3 linked regions of the Arabidopsis thaliana genome follow. The protein of the gene in region 3 interacts with the protein of the main gene of each other region in a pairwise test. Each region holds a gene or a part of one and is shown on either strand. Other genes may lie near its edges. The genes, in order: AT4G10080, AT4G13530 and TED6.

Evidence for each region.
Region 1: the proteins of TED6 (region 3) and AT4G10080 interact in a protein complementation assay, tested with the Arabidopsis thaliana proteins (one large-scale study listed by BioGRID).
Region 2: the proteins of TED6 (region 3) and AT4G13530 interact in a protein complementation assay, tested with the Arabidopsis thaliana proteins (one large-scale study listed by BioGRID).

The regions. Positions count from the first base shown.
Region 1 is NC_003075.7:6,298,927-6,305,246, forward strand, and holds AT4G10080 (uncharacterized protein), read right to left. Parts: upstream 3,819-6,320; 5' UTR 3,635-3,818; coding exon 2,783-3,634; intron 1,654-2,782; coding exon 1,528-1,653; 3' UTR 1,093-1,527; downstream 1-1,092. Other genes in the region: AT4G10070 (KH domain-containing protein), read right to left, coding at 1-41, 133-524, 668-833.
Region 2 is NC_003075.7:7,864,447-7,870,559, forward strand, and holds AT4G13530 (uncharacterized protein), read left to right. Parts: upstream 1-1,881; 5' UTR 1,882-2,361; coding exon 2,362-3,048; intron 3,049-3,983; coding exon 3,984-4,109; 3' UTR 4,110-4,730; downstream 4,731-6,113. Other genes in the region: SMAP1 (small acidic protein 1), read left to right, coding at 16-204; AT4G13540 (golgin family A protein), read left to right, coding at 5,450-5,813, 5,890-6,113.
Region 3 is NC_003070.9:16,573,088-16,577,392, forward strand, and holds TED6 (tracheary element differentiation-related 6), read left to right. Parts: upstream 1-2,671; 5' UTR 2,672-2,864; coding exon 2,865-3,215; 3' UTR 3,216-3,454; downstream 3,455-4,305. UniProt on the Arabidopsis thaliana protein: Involved in the secondary cell wall (SCW) formation of vessel elements (e.g. protoxylem and metaxylem), thus promoting tracheary element (TE) differentiation.

The sequences.
Region 1 (6,320 bases), on a different chromosome or scaffold from region 3:
TACCGTATAGTCTCCCCACCTTTACCAATCAACACACCTACCTGCAAAGCATTGTGATAAGCACGTCAGTGAAAGTATTCCGAAAGAAAAAAACTCACAGAACAGCCAAAAATGAAAACCAAATCATATCACCTTTGAACTTGGGACATCTATCCTACGAGTTGTCGACTGTGTGCCATCAACCTCCTTCTGAGATTTTTCACCATCCACTTCCTTATTTTCTTCTTTACCATTCTCTTGAGAACTACCATCATTCACTTCCTTACTATCGTCATCAATCACCTTCTGATGTTCACCACCATTGACATCCTCAATACAACCTTGTTGGTTATCCTCAGGCTTAACCTGATCATCTGTTGGCTGATCTACACTACAAATCTTATTTTCAGACTCATCAGCATGAATAGGATCCTGAACTTCCTCAACAAGTGGTACAGAATCTTGATTCTCTTCCTTAGGTTCCTGAAGCTGTTCTTCCTCTTTTACCTCCATTGAAGACCCATTTTCTTGTGTATTCCCATAATCTACAACAAAGGCCGAAGAACAACAATGAGAAAGACTGATTTATCAACAAACTCAAAGAAATCTCTTTTTTTGAAAACTATAACCATAGAACATCATAAAAATCAAAACTTTAGTTTATAAGAAGCCAAAGAGACAGAAACACCTAAACCATCTTGAGCTTCATCTTCTAGCTTCGCTCGTTTAGCCTGAGAAGAATCAGATGTTTGATTGCTATCATCCACGATATTTCCATTAAGCTCAACTTCGTCGAGCTTTCGCTTGAGATCGACAGGCGGCGTAGAGATAACAACAAAATCTTCCTCCGTCATCTGGAAACGAATCGTCCGGCGAGGAATTTAGGGAAAGCTGAGTACTGTAGGGTTTGGGGAAGAAGAGAATTATCTCCGGCAGTGAAAAGAGTTTGGGTTGCGACTCTGAACGGTGGTGGAGAAGTAACGTTTAAGGCTTTAACGTCTATTTATAATGTTCGGGCTTTTATTGGGCCTAAAAATGGGCTACCAGTTTTTTTTTTAAAGTTATCAAAAATAATGATGTTTTCTTTGTTGATCGTCGAGGGGATGTTGTTGAGACGATAGCTTCTACTCAAATTTTGTAGAATCGACAACATAGTAGAAATTTGTAGGGTCTTTATTTCCATTGTAGTGGTTTTATCGACTTTGGACTATGTCCTCCTCTCTATAATAGTTTACAAGCTTGAAACCCCAATGAAATCCATAACAAAACCCACATATAGCTTATGAAATTCTTAAGATCAAACATAGAAAAAGGCTTACCAACTGGGATTTTCAGTCTCTGAACATACATAAATCGCTACGGTAATCACTCTGCAGTGTATCCCACGGTTGGGACACGACTCACATACGCGATTTCATAAGATGGTAAACTACTACTTATGCATAGGTACGACATAAACACATGTATTTGTATTCTTACGGTACATAAAGTGATGGACATTGTATGATTGATTCTCCACTGTGTCTAGGTATTGTAGAAAACGGCTTCTCATCTAAGGCTCAAAACCGGCCATGCGCCAGGCGATGGTAGAGCAGGGCGGATCACAGGGACCCTTCTTACCTCTGTGAACACTTCATTGAGTCGAGCAGCCTGACTCATCACCCGCGACGCCTTCTGCACAGATCATAAACAACCCAAGACGTGATAATGATAGAAGTAAACCAACACCAAACAAATACCAACCAAGCAAAGAGATGTGCGCTAAGGGAAAATATCAAATCACAGCATTTTCAGCGGATGATGCCTCAGTATTTTTGTACTTAATTCAGACAGATTACAAGAACATATTAACTACAAAATCTATATCTTAGAGGGGGGTATTGGACATAAATTCTAGATTTTCAGGTATAATAAAAGAATTTCGAATCTTTCTTCTCAATTCAAATAAATATTTTGCAGTATTTTTAATAGAATTCTACTAGAATTAAGAAGATAAATTACTGAAATCTTTTGTTCCACAATGCTCTTTATCGGGACAGCCACCATGCCCAATCTCTAAAAACTGTACTTTTTCCTTCACAAACCTCTTAACCCAGAAACAATCTACGTTGACGTTTACATGAAATGGAAGAGATCCATATTTTGACAACAACGACAACGACGTCATCACAACCTCCGCTCATCTGCTCTCTATAGATTAACGCACTCTCCTCATATATAATCGAACGAATGATGATCCGAAGAATAAACCGGATCGAAATCACAGATTCTAATAAATGTGTTAAACACTCTCCCTCAGATTTGAGAATTTTTTTTGTATGGTTGAAGCAAATCGATGAAAGAGAAAAAAAGGATGGATGTGTTATATTCTATCCAAATCTCAACTCAAAAACTCAGAATTTGTTCTTCACATTTTAGACCAATTTTTCTATTAAATTCTTGTGAAGTAACGTTGTCAAACAAAACTACCGAAAACTGAATAACACTTGCAACTAATAGAATTAAGAAATGAGCAAGTTAAATAACACAAGAATTTAAAAGAATTTGTGAAATGTCTAATTGAATAACACTAGAATTTAAGATTCTATTGAAGTCTATCAAATTCATGCGTCCAATACCCCCACCTTAATATAAGGCAGGACAAGACAAGAACTAAACTAAACTTGAAATTCTACGGCTCAAGTCAGACCAATTGCATCAACACAACATAGAGTGTAGCTAACTCCTAAAACGTATCAATCTAGACCAGCTTACCAACTTCAAGCAAAATGAAAACACAAGGGTCAATGATAATATAGTGTACCTTATCGTCAATCGTAACTTTAAGATGGAACCTTTGAGCTTTCTTCTTCATATTATACAATCTACGTCCCAAGAGAACCAAACCCATCACAGCAGCAGCCATAGAGACAGACCAAACCGGACCAATCCTAAACACAGAGTACTTAAGAAGCACAAATGGCATCTTCCACCACACAGTCTCTCTACTTTTACCCTCACCACCAGAACTCACGCCTCCAACTTCCACAGTATCTCCTCCACTTCCCTCAATTACTTCACTAGAAGCAACTACACTATCAGAAACAACTTCTTTTTCACCATTCACAACCCCAGAATCTCGAGAAACCAATTCATTTCCCCCTAAATCAGAACACAACTTGCTCGAATCCTCAATAGGTTCTTCAACACCCGATTCGTTCTCACCGTGCCTTCCATCAACGAATTCTTCGAGATTCTCTGTTTCATAGTGAGATACGGTTCCACCAGTTAATTCAGTAGCAGCTTCGCTCTCAACATATTTCTCATTGGCAGCTTCAAAATCACTAAGCCTAACCTCACCATCACCCAAAATTCCAGTTTCTGAATCATAAACCCCAAATTCATTTCTGACACAATCATCACCCGATTGACTAACACTGAACTGATCCAAACCAGAATCAACACTAACCTCACCCGGATTCAGACACTCCGACCCGTAATCAACCCGAAAAGAATCAAAATAACCCGATTCAATCACCCGATCAGTAGCAGAGAAATGATCAGAAAGAATCATACCGTCATCGATTACGCTTGAACTCTCTAATTTCGTCTCCGATGTGATTGAATCAGTTGATTCTGTATCAGAGCCATGATGAAGAAGCTCCCAATCATCCATGATGATCGAATTCGAAGATTTCAGATTGGGATTGCAATAATCAGAAACCCTAATGGATAAAACCCCAAATATTGGAAAAGGATCGCAACAAATTAGAGCGGTTGATGATGGAAAAGAATGGTTCTTATCCACTTTGAGAAAGTAATTACGTGGAGGTATCTAATTGGTTGCGTGTCAATCTCAGTCCTCAACTAAATTTTTTGGCATTAAAGTTTAGTAGATTCAGAGAACTATAGTATTTATTCATTTTGTTCTTTCATTTTTATTTTATTTTTTAAAACGATTTAATTAGGATTCGGCAATAAATCGTATGGTGCGGATCAAATGAATTAAACAAATATGTATCGGTTAAAATAGAGTAGACGATGTAAGAAAAATATATATAATCAAGATTCAAACGGTTGAGGTGGGTTTTGCAAATAAATCCATCGGTAGATTGAAATATTTTCTTATTTATTATTTATAGATTAGTATTTATAATAGTACTGACCAAAAATATAGAAAAAAAAAATCGGTAAAAACTTTAGACCGATTTTATATAGAAATAAATTTAGTTTATAACGGATTATTGTCCGCTCCAAAATTAAATGGTTTAGTCTCTAATAGTTTAGTTTGTTTCGAAAAGAATGGTTCTTATCCACTTTGAGGAAGTAGTTATGTAGAGGTATCTAATTGGTCACGTAACATTCTCAGTACTCAACTAGATCTTTTGACATTAAAGGTTGGTAGATTGAGAGAAGTATGGTATTTATTCCTTTTGTTCTTTCATTTTTTTGGTTTTTCACAATGATTTAATTAGGGTTCACGACGAATCGTATGGTGCAGATCAAATGAATTAATCAAATACTAGATGATTTACCCGAACTATGTACAGGGAGAAATAGTTATATGAAATATATAAACAAGTTTTTGGAAACAGATTTTATATTATCACTTGATATATAAGTGTGAATATTTGAATATGATTTAGTAACTGATATATTTTGGAGATTTTATTAGTTAGGAATTAGGATATTCTATATTTGGAATAAGATTTTAAATTAAAATATTGACCCAAAAGAAAATCTGAAATATCATTCCTATAATTCAGAAATATATTCGAATATTTTTTGTATTTTATAAGATTTTATTTTGGAAACAATTCAATATAAAAACTGAAAAGAGTATGAATAATTATGTTTTAAACGTAATAAATTTTTGATTATCTTTTATTATTCTTCATAATTCTATGTAGTTAGGATTGATTTATTGCATATCCCTTATTTTATTAATCAATTTATATTGTTACGATAAGGTTTTGGGTTGTAAATAAATTTTAACTAAAATGAGTAAATGACTAATTAAATTGAATAAACTGTGTAAAAGTTTTAATAAATTGATAAGGTAAAAATTTGAAAAGAAATAATATTGAAAGTAATCAGTAAGCGGATACATTTTTAACATAGATTAATATTGAAATATTGTTCATAGTGAATGTGTAATAAATGAAATGTTACTAACTAATTTATGTAAAACTATGTTCCGAATATATTCAAGAATCATATGGGCTCACATATACATTTAGATTTTTTGCAATTTATAACAAAAAAATAGAATGTCATATATGTTAAAATTCTAAATGTTTTCTATAAAACCTAAAAAAATAAAGTACGAAACATATAATAAACATTTATATTATATGTTGTTCATCATAATTTATGATATATACTTTTTACTTGTTTGCTCAAATATATATGGTTTTTTGATTAATTTTCTTTATTAATTGCTACTCTCTTAAATGTAGAGGAAAAATATGCATAAGTACCACTAATGGCATTATATGTAATTAGTCTAGTAAATATTGGATAACTATTAAGTTTGTTGAAAGTTTTTCTGGTTACGACATGTCAGCATGATAGTCTTGTAAATCACACGTGAATGTAAGGTTTTTTATTTAAAATACTTCTCAATTAATATATAGGGGATGTATCAGTTAAAATAGAGTAGACGGTCTAAAACCATCTCCAATGCACACCTCTATTTTTTTCTTTCATTTTAGAGACAAATTTATTTTAGAGGAAATTAGATTTTGCTCCAATGTATTCTTCTAAAATAGTTTTTTTCTCCAAAATAGAGAAAATAAATAGATTTTACTCTTTATATAGATTAAAACGTAAGATTCCTTTATTTTAGAGAAAAATCTATTTTAGAGACATATATTGAAGCAAAATGTATCTAACATAGAATCACCTCTAAATGGAGAAAAAAAATAGAGATGGACATTGGAGATGTTTAGAAGAATATAGATTCGAGCGGTTGAGGCGAATAAATCTTTCTGTAGATTGAAATGTTTATTATTTATTATGAATAAATTATCATATAATAGTGTAAACCAAAAATTATAGAAAAAACCCCGCTAAAACTACATACCCATTTTCTAGAAATAAACTTAGGTTACAACGGATTGTTGTCTACCCCAAAATTTGGATGGTGTAATCTGCTAATGGTTTAGTCCGCTTCGAGTAACATTTAAGCAAATCGTTAGTATAAAATGGGTAAAATAAGTGATACTCAAATACATATTAAATAATGTCAACTTTAAAATATTTTAAATATTTTTCATGTTTCAAATAATTTTCTTACAAAATATATCATTTAAATTCTTAAAGAATAAACAAATTTTAACAAGAAAGTAAACGTGAACCAT
Region 2 (6,113 bases), on a different chromosome or scaffold from region 3:
GAGACGAAGAGAGAAATGAGGCCGATGCAGCTGGATATGTTATCGGAGATGGATGATGCAGGTTCTTCGATGGCCATGGACGTTGATGACCTCGAAGCCATGGAGATACTCAACGAAGGAGGACTTGTCTCAGATAACAAGCTCGCCGACGCCGATTTCTTCAACAAATTCGATGATGATTTCGATGACACCGATATCAACTAAATCCGGTTAAGTTTCCTCTTTAAGATTTCAGTTTTTTTTCCTAAACTTGATGTAATTTGTGGAGAAACCTATGTAGTAAGTGTGTAATAAGTTCTGGGATTTTTATGTTTGTGGTATGTAACAATGTTTTTCTTCATTTGGATTACTAAAACATTTGATTTGTGTGTTATTGTGCTTTGTCTGATTGTTTTTTTTGGCTCAAATTTAGAATGTTTTTTTTTTCCTTGGTTCTGGAGATGATGATGTTTTTTGGAGATTGAAACCTAATTTTCTTTAGTGTTTTGGTATTTTAGTAACTGAAAATTAGAGTCTTTGTATGTGAAGAATGTTGTGAATTTGTATGTGAAGAATGTGAAAGTTATTGATATTGGCTTAAGATAGAAACTAATTGATTCATTTGGTACCATATTCCATTGTGATTGCTTGTAATTTCAACATCTGAGGTCTCTGAAATATGTGTTGATGTGTTTCATTGTGTTGATATTCATGTGACTCACCGGGTCTAGAGAAACTTCCCGGTGAGAGATGAAATCCTCATGTAAGCTGTAACTTTCCACTAGTGATTAAGTGAACTAGGGAACTCATACTGAAGCACATATTCCTACCAACAATTTAATGGCCTAAGAGAAATAGTCTCTTGTATCTTCCATGTAACTCAGATACATCAGTCAATGATTTATATGGATATGGTATCTTGTTCCATGTTGATTTCTTGTAAATTCACCATCTCGTGGTCTCTGAATGTGTGTTGTATTGTGGTATGTGGGAGGGGGTGTATAATTCCTGTCTTGTGGTATGTAGGAGGGGGTGTATAATTCCCCTGGCCAAGTTCTGTTGTTGCATCGTGTCATATTATATTCTCTGGGCCGGTTTTGAGATGGAAATAATGTGCTTGATGTTCAACTATGGTAGAAAGGAAAAGGAGGCTAAGCATAAAGATGTCACTTGTCACTTTGTCAGTCCCTAGCAGTCTTTGTTACTTGCCTTATAGTCGTATGTATGTAGTGTAGCCAAATTTCATGAGATTTCAACATTCGATAGCAATTCATTAGATATCGGTAACCTCTTTTCAGAATCTCTTACTAATAAAAAAAAAGTTATTTGAGGCCTCTCACACTACCCACCTCAGCCTTTTAACAAATGTGTTCTCAAGTTGCCACGTCATCAACTCTCTCAAAAACTCCCAAATCTCTGCAAGCCACCATCCATGAGCCTCTTAACTTTCTTCTCCTCCCTACCTCAACCTTTATAAAATCTCCACATCTTGGTTTAATGACTAAACTCTAAAATTTTGAGTTATAAAAAAGAATGTTTGTTAAACTATGATATTAACGCTAAACATTTATTGAAAAAAAAGTTGGGTTTCGATTAATATTAAATATTTCCTATGTTTCTTAGCAAAAATAAATAAATATTTTCTCTGTTTTTTTTGTTTGATTGTTAGAAAAAAACACACAAAAGTAAATATATTAAAGTTGATTTTAAATATATTATATTTTGTGTTTTACAATTTTCTATCACTTTAAACCAATAAAATTTAATTATTTTTATTAAAGTTTACAATTCATTAATAAAAACTAATAAATATTACATAAAAATTTTAAAAAATCAATTTTTTTGAAACAATTTTTTTTTTCTTCAAAATCAACAAAATAGAACCGAAGGAATATGAATTACGCGGATTACAATTAAATTATCAATTCATCGATCACCTAATTTGAACGAGAAAAAACAAGTAAAAAAACGAAAAGTAAAATAGTAAAAAGTAAAAATACATTCTATTGGATTTGGTTCGGTATCAATAAATTATGATGTTCTTCACAAAATGCATTTATATGACGTGTTTGCTTCCTCTCCCTCCAGTTTCAAGTTGAGCATATCTGATTAGCAAAAGCGGTTGAAGGTCCTCTACTTCTCGGCCCACCGTAACAACATACACTGTCAATCCATATAGTTATCATAAACCCACACGTCAACGAAACCACTCTTTTGACTTCATCCTCTATCCAATCACACCACGCCACGTTAACACCACGACCTAGTGTTTCTGTGATCTCCACACAGAGAAAGAAGCGTTTCGGTTCTGTTTTCGCCCCAACACAAAGACTCCTTTTGTTTCTTTTCCTCAATTGGATCGAAAAAACCCCTAACTTTGACATGGAAGGAGAGATTCAAGACTGGGAAATACTTCAGAGCTCGAGATCTACCACGGAAGATGACAATTCGAGGAGCTTGGAGGAGATTGATGATGGCACGCAAGGTATGATTAGGTTTGATCATTTCTCTCTTGAGAACCAGAGTGGTTTGTCTCGTTTGGAGGCAAACGATGAAGATGGGTCTGTTCAATCGGGTAGTCCAGGATGGATCGAACCTAGCTCCGATGTTCCTTATGGTCCGAAGCATTTTAGTGAGTTATGGTCTGATTCAAGCAGTGATCGGCTTGATGATCAGAGGTTAGTGGATGATGATGTGAATAACGAGATGGGTATAGAGAGAAACGAAGTGGGTATTGTTGAATATAGTGAAAGTATAGCTCAAGACATGGATTTGATAAGCTCTGATGAGAGAAAGGAAGAATCTTTACTTCATCCAGTGGAAGGAGAAGGAAACTCTGTTTCTATTGATCCTGGTGTTAAATCTGGTGGTGGAGGAGGAGAAGAGAAAGGGTTTGTGTGGTGGAAAATTCCAATAGAGGTGTTGAAGTATTGTGTGTTGAAAATTAATCCTATTTGGTCTTTGTCCATGGCTGCAGCATTTGTGGGTTTTGTTATGTTAGGGCGTAGATTGTACAATATGAAGAAGAAGACTCGTTCCTTGCAGCTTAAGGTTCTTTTGGATGATAAGGTAACTAGCTTGGTTTATTTGATTGTTTATTGTTCTTTGAGTATGTTGATTCATGAGTCATGTGGTTACTGTATGATCTTTTGGTGTGATATGAGCTCTGCTTAGTTCAACTTTTACTGCTTAGTTAGATGTTTTATTAGTGTCAATTGTTGTTTTGATGGGGAAAATGAGAAGATCAGATCATCCCCTTGTTTGTCCTGGGACCAGTTTCTTGTTGCTAAGTAGTTTAGATGCAACCAGCGACTCGAGGTCATAGTATTCACCAACAGGCATACACTCGTACCCATTTACACTATCTTGCTAAGGGTTTTTGATATAGCACCACTGCATCGGTTGAGTTCTTGATAGATACTTTTGGCATAGAATGTGTAGTTGGTGAGAGCAGTGTTAATAGTCGTTAGAATACCACCTGGGTGATCTATTTCTTTGTCCGTCCTCTCTGTTGTTTCATCTCCTATAATGCTTAAACAACATATTTTTTATTTTTACATTTTGAGTTTGCATGTTCTTTCTAATAGCTAAAGGATAGTTGAAAGATCTTTAGACTAGTTTTCAGTAGTTATTCTTTGTAGATTTTTCATGTTGGTAGCCAGAGATGGAAGTTACTATATATTACGAATCTTATCGTAAAATGTTTCTTTGAGGAATGGATAAAAGTAGTGGTAAAACCTGAAAGTTTAGTTTAACTGATCTTCCACTGGTACAAAGCCTCAGTAAGGACCCAAGTTTGAATCCTGCTTACGGTTGCATATAACTTGGCGGATCAAATATGTCTTTTGCTGCTGAAATTCACGTTCTTGCTTGACTTGTATTCATCTTTTTCACTCATGGCAATGAAGAACAAAAGTTCTAAGTATTTCAGAACACAATTCGGAAGATTTTTACACCATCTGATTCTTGTATTGTCTGTCTTTTGAATGAAATACTTTTTTCAGAAGGTGGCGAATCATGCTGCTCGGTGGAACGAAGCAATCTCGGTAGTGAAACGTGTGCCCATAATCCGGCCAGCACTTCCGTCATCAGTGGGTATGAACCAGTGGTCCATGATGAGTTTAAGGTGAAAATTAAGTGAATTTGAGGGCATAATAATGCATATATGTGAGATTATATGATTTGATGTGGTTGGTGCATGTATCATATGATTGTATTAAAAATGTTACAAAAACATACAAAAAGATGCTTGTAAGTTTGTACTGTGTGTGTATATATTGTTACTTGCTTGGTGGAATACAAATTGGATCAGAATCATAGTGCAGTTTTGGAAGGTTGCGGTCAGAATCTAACCTTGATAAGCTTCTGAGCTGGTCTTAGTAGGCAGTGTCGTAAAGAGATTGTACAAAGACAAAAGCCAATAACGGAATTTTGGTTGTTTATTTAGAAAGTACGACTCTTTAAGATATGAAAAGGGTTAAGACAAAAACCCAAATTAACAGGGAAGTTCACGTGAAGAGGGCAATGTTTCTGATTGATGTAGCCATGTAGGAGTCTATCTTTCACTTTATAGCTATCCTAAACTCTACGATGTCAATTGTGATTAGATATATGTCTCTTCTTCTTGTTTCTTTGTCTTCTTTCACTCTATTATTCGTTGACCATTGTACCACCAAAGTTTGGTATACTCACTTATCATACTTAAATCACAAGTGAGTATTGTAAGGAACTAAGGATCCAAAGCTAAAGCATACTCATGAAGTTTAACTATTGACGTTTAACGGAAATAAAGCAAACCAAAATTCGAACTTCAAGATAAATCTACCCATTGTCTTCACGTAACATACTCAAATTTTGGTTTGCTATGTTTGATTCGGTCTATAAAAACACAGACAATAACTTAAGACCTATGTAACAATTTCCTCCATGAGAAGAAGACAAATTAGACCAAAAGTTTGAGAGAAACCTATAAAACCTACAAATATTGGGAAGAAAAAATAGGAGTAAATAGGTATGGGTCCATGTTAATGATGCATGTGACAAACAATCAAAGCCCACACCATTAATTGGAGATTGAAGAAAAAACACTGCTTTTCATATTCTGTAACACCACTTCAATTCCTTTTTCTCTTGTTTCCTATTCAGTACTATGTCCTGAGAGTGCCCATAACTTCTTTTGTCTTTTTATCTCAGTTTCCATAAGAAATAATCAACTCAAGCCACAATGTGTGTTTGTGTGATTAGTTTTGTGATAAGACATTCCATAATTTTCCTATTGTGTGTTTAGGATAAGTGAAGATGCTTTTGGTTTGGACCATATTATATAAATAACATGTGTCTGCAATGCCGCAAAGTGGAGCTTTCTTCACTCACAATAATCATTTTTTTTTTTCATTGAATGAAACAAACAAGACATTCAAAATAGAACAAAAGTTCTACAGAGATAGAGAGAGAAAGAGAGCTTTTCTTCATGGGTGGTTCTACAAGCAAGGATGAGAGAAACAGTAGTAAGAGACGCATCAAGGTGAAAGCAAATGAACAGAGAAGGAGAGAAACAAGAAGAGAGCTTGATGAGAAAGAGAGAGTGATTTTGGCGTTGAAGATGGCAGAGACAGAGTGGAGGAAAGAGAGGAAGAGACTGAGAGAGGAAGTGAAGAGGCTGAGACAGAAGATGGAAGAGAAGGAAGAAGGAAAGGCGAAACAACACGAGTGGGAATGGGTCGTGGAACAGATGTGTTTAGAGAGAGCAGTGAGGGAAGAAGCTGTGGAGAGGTGGAAGCAGCTCTACTTTGCTATCAAGAATGAGCTTGATGATCTCATCCACACAACATATGGTAAGACCTTTCACAAATAATCTCATCTTTGATGTTTTGAGAAAGGAAGGTAATGAGTTTTTTTTTTCTTTTGTAGGAGAGGCACTGAGACAGAAACCGCAAGAAGAAGTTGCAAAGGCAGTGCAAGAACTCAGAAAGGAAGTTAAAGCTAGGGGAGAAACCATTGAGACACTGAAAGGGAGAATAAATTTGATGGAGAAACAACAAAATGGGAAGGAAAGAGAGATTGACTTACTGAGACAGAGTCTGCGTATCCTCGGCGGTAGCAGCGGGAAGAACAAGGCACTATCATCTACTACC
Region 3 (4,305 bases):
GGTGTATGGAGCTGTAAGATGTCGCTTTATTCCTGATTCTTGACATAAATTGTTGAACTCTTGTGATACGAACTCTCCTCCTCTATCTGTTCTGAAAGTTTGTATTCTTGCTCCTGACTCTTGTTCCACGAGACTCTTGAACTTTCTAAACTTGTTAAAAGCTTCACTCTTTTCTTTCAACAGAATAGTCCACATGTACCTAGAATGATCATCAATGAGCACAAATACATACCTATTTCCTGCAGCGGTGCTTGGCGTTATAGGACCACATAGATCACCATGGACTAGTTCAAGAATCTTGGCAGCTCTAAATAGAGTGGCTTTTGGAAACGCAAGTCTTGTTTGCTTTCCAAGTAAACATGAGCTGCAAAGTTCTTTTTTTATGCTTCCAAGTGAGAATCCTTGAACCAACTCCTTTTGCATCATCGATTTAATTGTATCAAAGTTCACATGTCCTAGCCTTGCATGCCATCTACTTGATTCACTTATTGTTGTTAAGTGCAAACGTGTAGCTCCTTTTATTCCCATTCTTACTTTGTAAAGATGATTCTTCGATCTACACGCTTTGACAAGTAGTTTCCCATCACGATCATGCATCGTTAGTTGATCTCCTTTCATCGTAATGTTGCAGCCTGATTCTGTAGCTTGTCCTAAACTGATGATGTTGCTCTTAAGATCCAGAATGAAATAGACATTAGATACTTTTTGTTGATCACCGTTTCCTTTTATGTCGATACGGGAGTCATCTCTGAAATGTACTTTGCCTGAAACTGAATCATCCAATGTTGAAAATACCTTATATCCCCTGTCATATGGTTTCTAGCTCCATTATCTAGATACCATATGTTTTCTTCTTCGGTGTTTGCTTCATACATGCTTGGTACACAATTCTTCTCATTCAAAAATATCACCTCATGCATCATGAGCTCATCCGCTTCATGTGTCTCTTCTTTGTCATGTTCTTGCGTTTCCTGTAGCTTTAACAATCGATCAAGACATGTTGAAGCGTAGTGACCTAACTTGTCGCATCGGAAACACATTACTCTTGACGTATCTCTTCCTCCATATGAACGTCCACATCCTCTCCCTCTTTCATATCCTCTTCCTCCTCGACCTCTGCCCTGGAATCGTTTCCTGGATCTCGATTGTTTGAGTAACTTCCTTGAGAATCCATATTTGAATACAGAAGCTTGCTTTGGTCTTCTTGAGGATCATCTCCATCAAAAACATGCACGTTCTTCATATACTTTCAGCCGACCAACTATGTCATCAAAAGTTATGGTGTTAAGATCTAAGACTTGTTCTAGTGCAGCTACTATGTGAATGTATTTTCTTCGTGGAACACTCTTAAGAAACTTCTTAACAAGTCTTGATTCTTCAATAATTACACCTAAAGCAGCTGATTTTGCTGAGATCTCAGATAACTTGCCAGCAAAGTCATATATTTTCTCAGAATCCTTCATTGTTAATCGGTCAAATTCGGCCATGAGGGTTTGTAACCTAGCATCCTTGACTCTCTCTACCCCCAGATGTCTTGATTTGATTGCATCCCATACTTCTCTTGCTGTATCAAGTTCTCCGATTTGTAAAGCTAATGCTTCTGGGATTGATTGAAACAACAAAGCACAAGCAACATCACTCTTATCTTCATCAAACGGTTCTGTCACCTTGTCTATCATGTTCCAAGCTTTATGAACCTTTAGTGCCCTCTTCATCCTCATGGCCCATACCGTGTAGTTGATAGCGTTTAGCATAGGACATTGGATTGAAGAGGATCCACTAACTTCTTTCGTTGTTCTAGCTGCGGGAACGATATCACTCATTTCTTCTTATGATTGATTCAATAGCCTCACGCTCTGATACCAAATCTAGAGTTTAAGAAAGATTAAGAACTCAAAATATAAAGAATTACTCTCTTTATTACTTTAGGAAAATAGCTCAAAACCTAAAGCTCTCAATCTCACAATCTCTCTCAAAAGCTCATAAGTTATACCACACATTGGTATCTCCTTATATAATAGAGATTCAACATTATCCTAATCATTAGATAACTCCTAATGAATATTCTAGATAACTCCTAGAATTACAAGGAATTCCTTTTCTCTTAAATAAATAAATGACTTATTACTTAAGTCTTCTTCAAGCTTAATCCAACATATATTGCCTTCTTGGTGGGATAACATAGTTCAAAATACCGAGTTATTCATTGTTGGAATGACTGGTAGAGGTGAAGTTGTGTTGTCACCGTACTGTCTAGTACTAGAACCATGTTACATTGATTAATTCAACCTCGAGAGGAGGAGTTTCACAAGAGTTCAAATACAAGGTCTTGAAGTGCTTATAAGGGTACGAGAGTTTACACTTCTCTAGACTATGCTGAGAATTTGAAACTTATGTAGGGTTCAAATCTTATTTTTAAGCTTTTGTCTAGTTTTGGATAAAAGAACAAAATATCAAAAATCTTTTGTATGTTCATATATATTTTATTTTTTTTAATTAATATTTCATTACTTTTCTTTAGTATATGGAGTATTTTTATGAAACAAGAATTGTGAGAATTATGAATCTTACCTCTTACAATTCTTACATATTTTTGGATTACACCAACAAAATAAGATATTTTGAGCTGAGTGCCTGTTTTTCTTGGCTTTTACTCTTTTTTTTTTTTTTTAAACATTCTAGGTTAGCTTAACAAAAACAACAAGCAAACAAAACCTTAGGATGGGAGTTAAGTCATTACAAACTTAGCAGCAACCTATACTCTCAATACTCACTACAAATAAGCCCCATGATTCTCCATCTTCCTCAAACCATTTCCACCTCAAGAAATAAATCATCAGAGCCTCACACATCAAACACAAGTAATGGCCTCCACGGATTCAGTTTACCGTCCCACACCAACTCCAGACCATGACACTACTGTTGTAGTAGTTGTGTTTGTTTCTTTGGGTTGTGTCATGTTCTTGGCGTTTCTAGCGTTTGTTATCTGGTTCTTGATCAAGAAGAGATCCAGGAAGCACCGTGAGAGATCTGAAGCGGTTCGCGTGGATGAACACTTTAAGATGAAGGAAGCTATAGTCGAAGGACCTAATGGACAAAAGTCTGTGGTGTTATCAGTTGAGGATGATGTTAAGATCGAAGACGCGATCAAGAGAGAAGAGAAAGATCTGAAGAAAGATGGTGGAGTTGGATCATCAGTCGTTTCCCGTTCGTGAATGAGCTTTCTTCATTCATAATGTTACCTATCTATTTATTTATATTAAAATTGTGGTTGTGTGTGAATCATTTGTTTGGTGAAATAAAAAAAAAGCATCTGAAATATTTATTTAAATTCTTTGGACAAAGATGGTTCTTCAAACTTGGGTTGGTGAATGGTGATGGTTTTTATGTTCTAGGAGCGAACTTTTATCTCTATCTCTCTAAGAAAAGTAATCTTTCAAAAAAAACTGTAGAGAAATAAAATAGATAGTTGTTTTTGGTTAAAACAGATAATTTGTAACTGTAACTCGATAAGAATATTAATTAAAAAAAACATACAATGTCAAATGAAATCATACTTAAAATTGGACATTTTTCTATTTGAAAACTTGGTATTGGTATACTAACACATATACCATGTTAATCTTCTCATTATAGTTCTACTTAATATTTACCAAAACAAAACAAAAAAAACAATTATACGTATTTAATTAACAAAACAAATACATTAATTCTGAAGATGGAGAAAAAAATTGTGTCTTGATAATGCTAACTTACCAAGTCTCCATACATGATAAGAAAATTACACACACATATATATATATATATATAAATATGTCATATATAAGTTTATTTTTGAGCTAAATCTTCAAAAAGTTTCTATTGTAATTTCTAAGCTTAAACAAAAATTGATACATTCATTGTCTAATACTGTTCTGGTTGAATTCAATTTTATATTCAATTAAAATTAATATTTTCTTACCAAACATCACATTCATACATAAAATAAACATTGGAATTATCATTCTGAAACTAATACAACATTTAAATATTAGAAATCCTATAAAATAAAAATTCGTCCTTTCTTTTCTTTGTCAACCATAAGATCCAATGGCTCGTTGAATACGTAGTTACGTACAACTGGCATTCTCGTGTACAAAGTCACTAAAACAAAAACAAAATCCATTATAGATATTAAAACGACTAAATTTAATTATAGCAATAACAATTGAACAGCAAGATCACAAATTTAGAATTCAAGAGCTTAAAAAATTCATTAAAAGTAGAAAAATACAAAAATAATACATTAAAATTCAAAGTTCATAT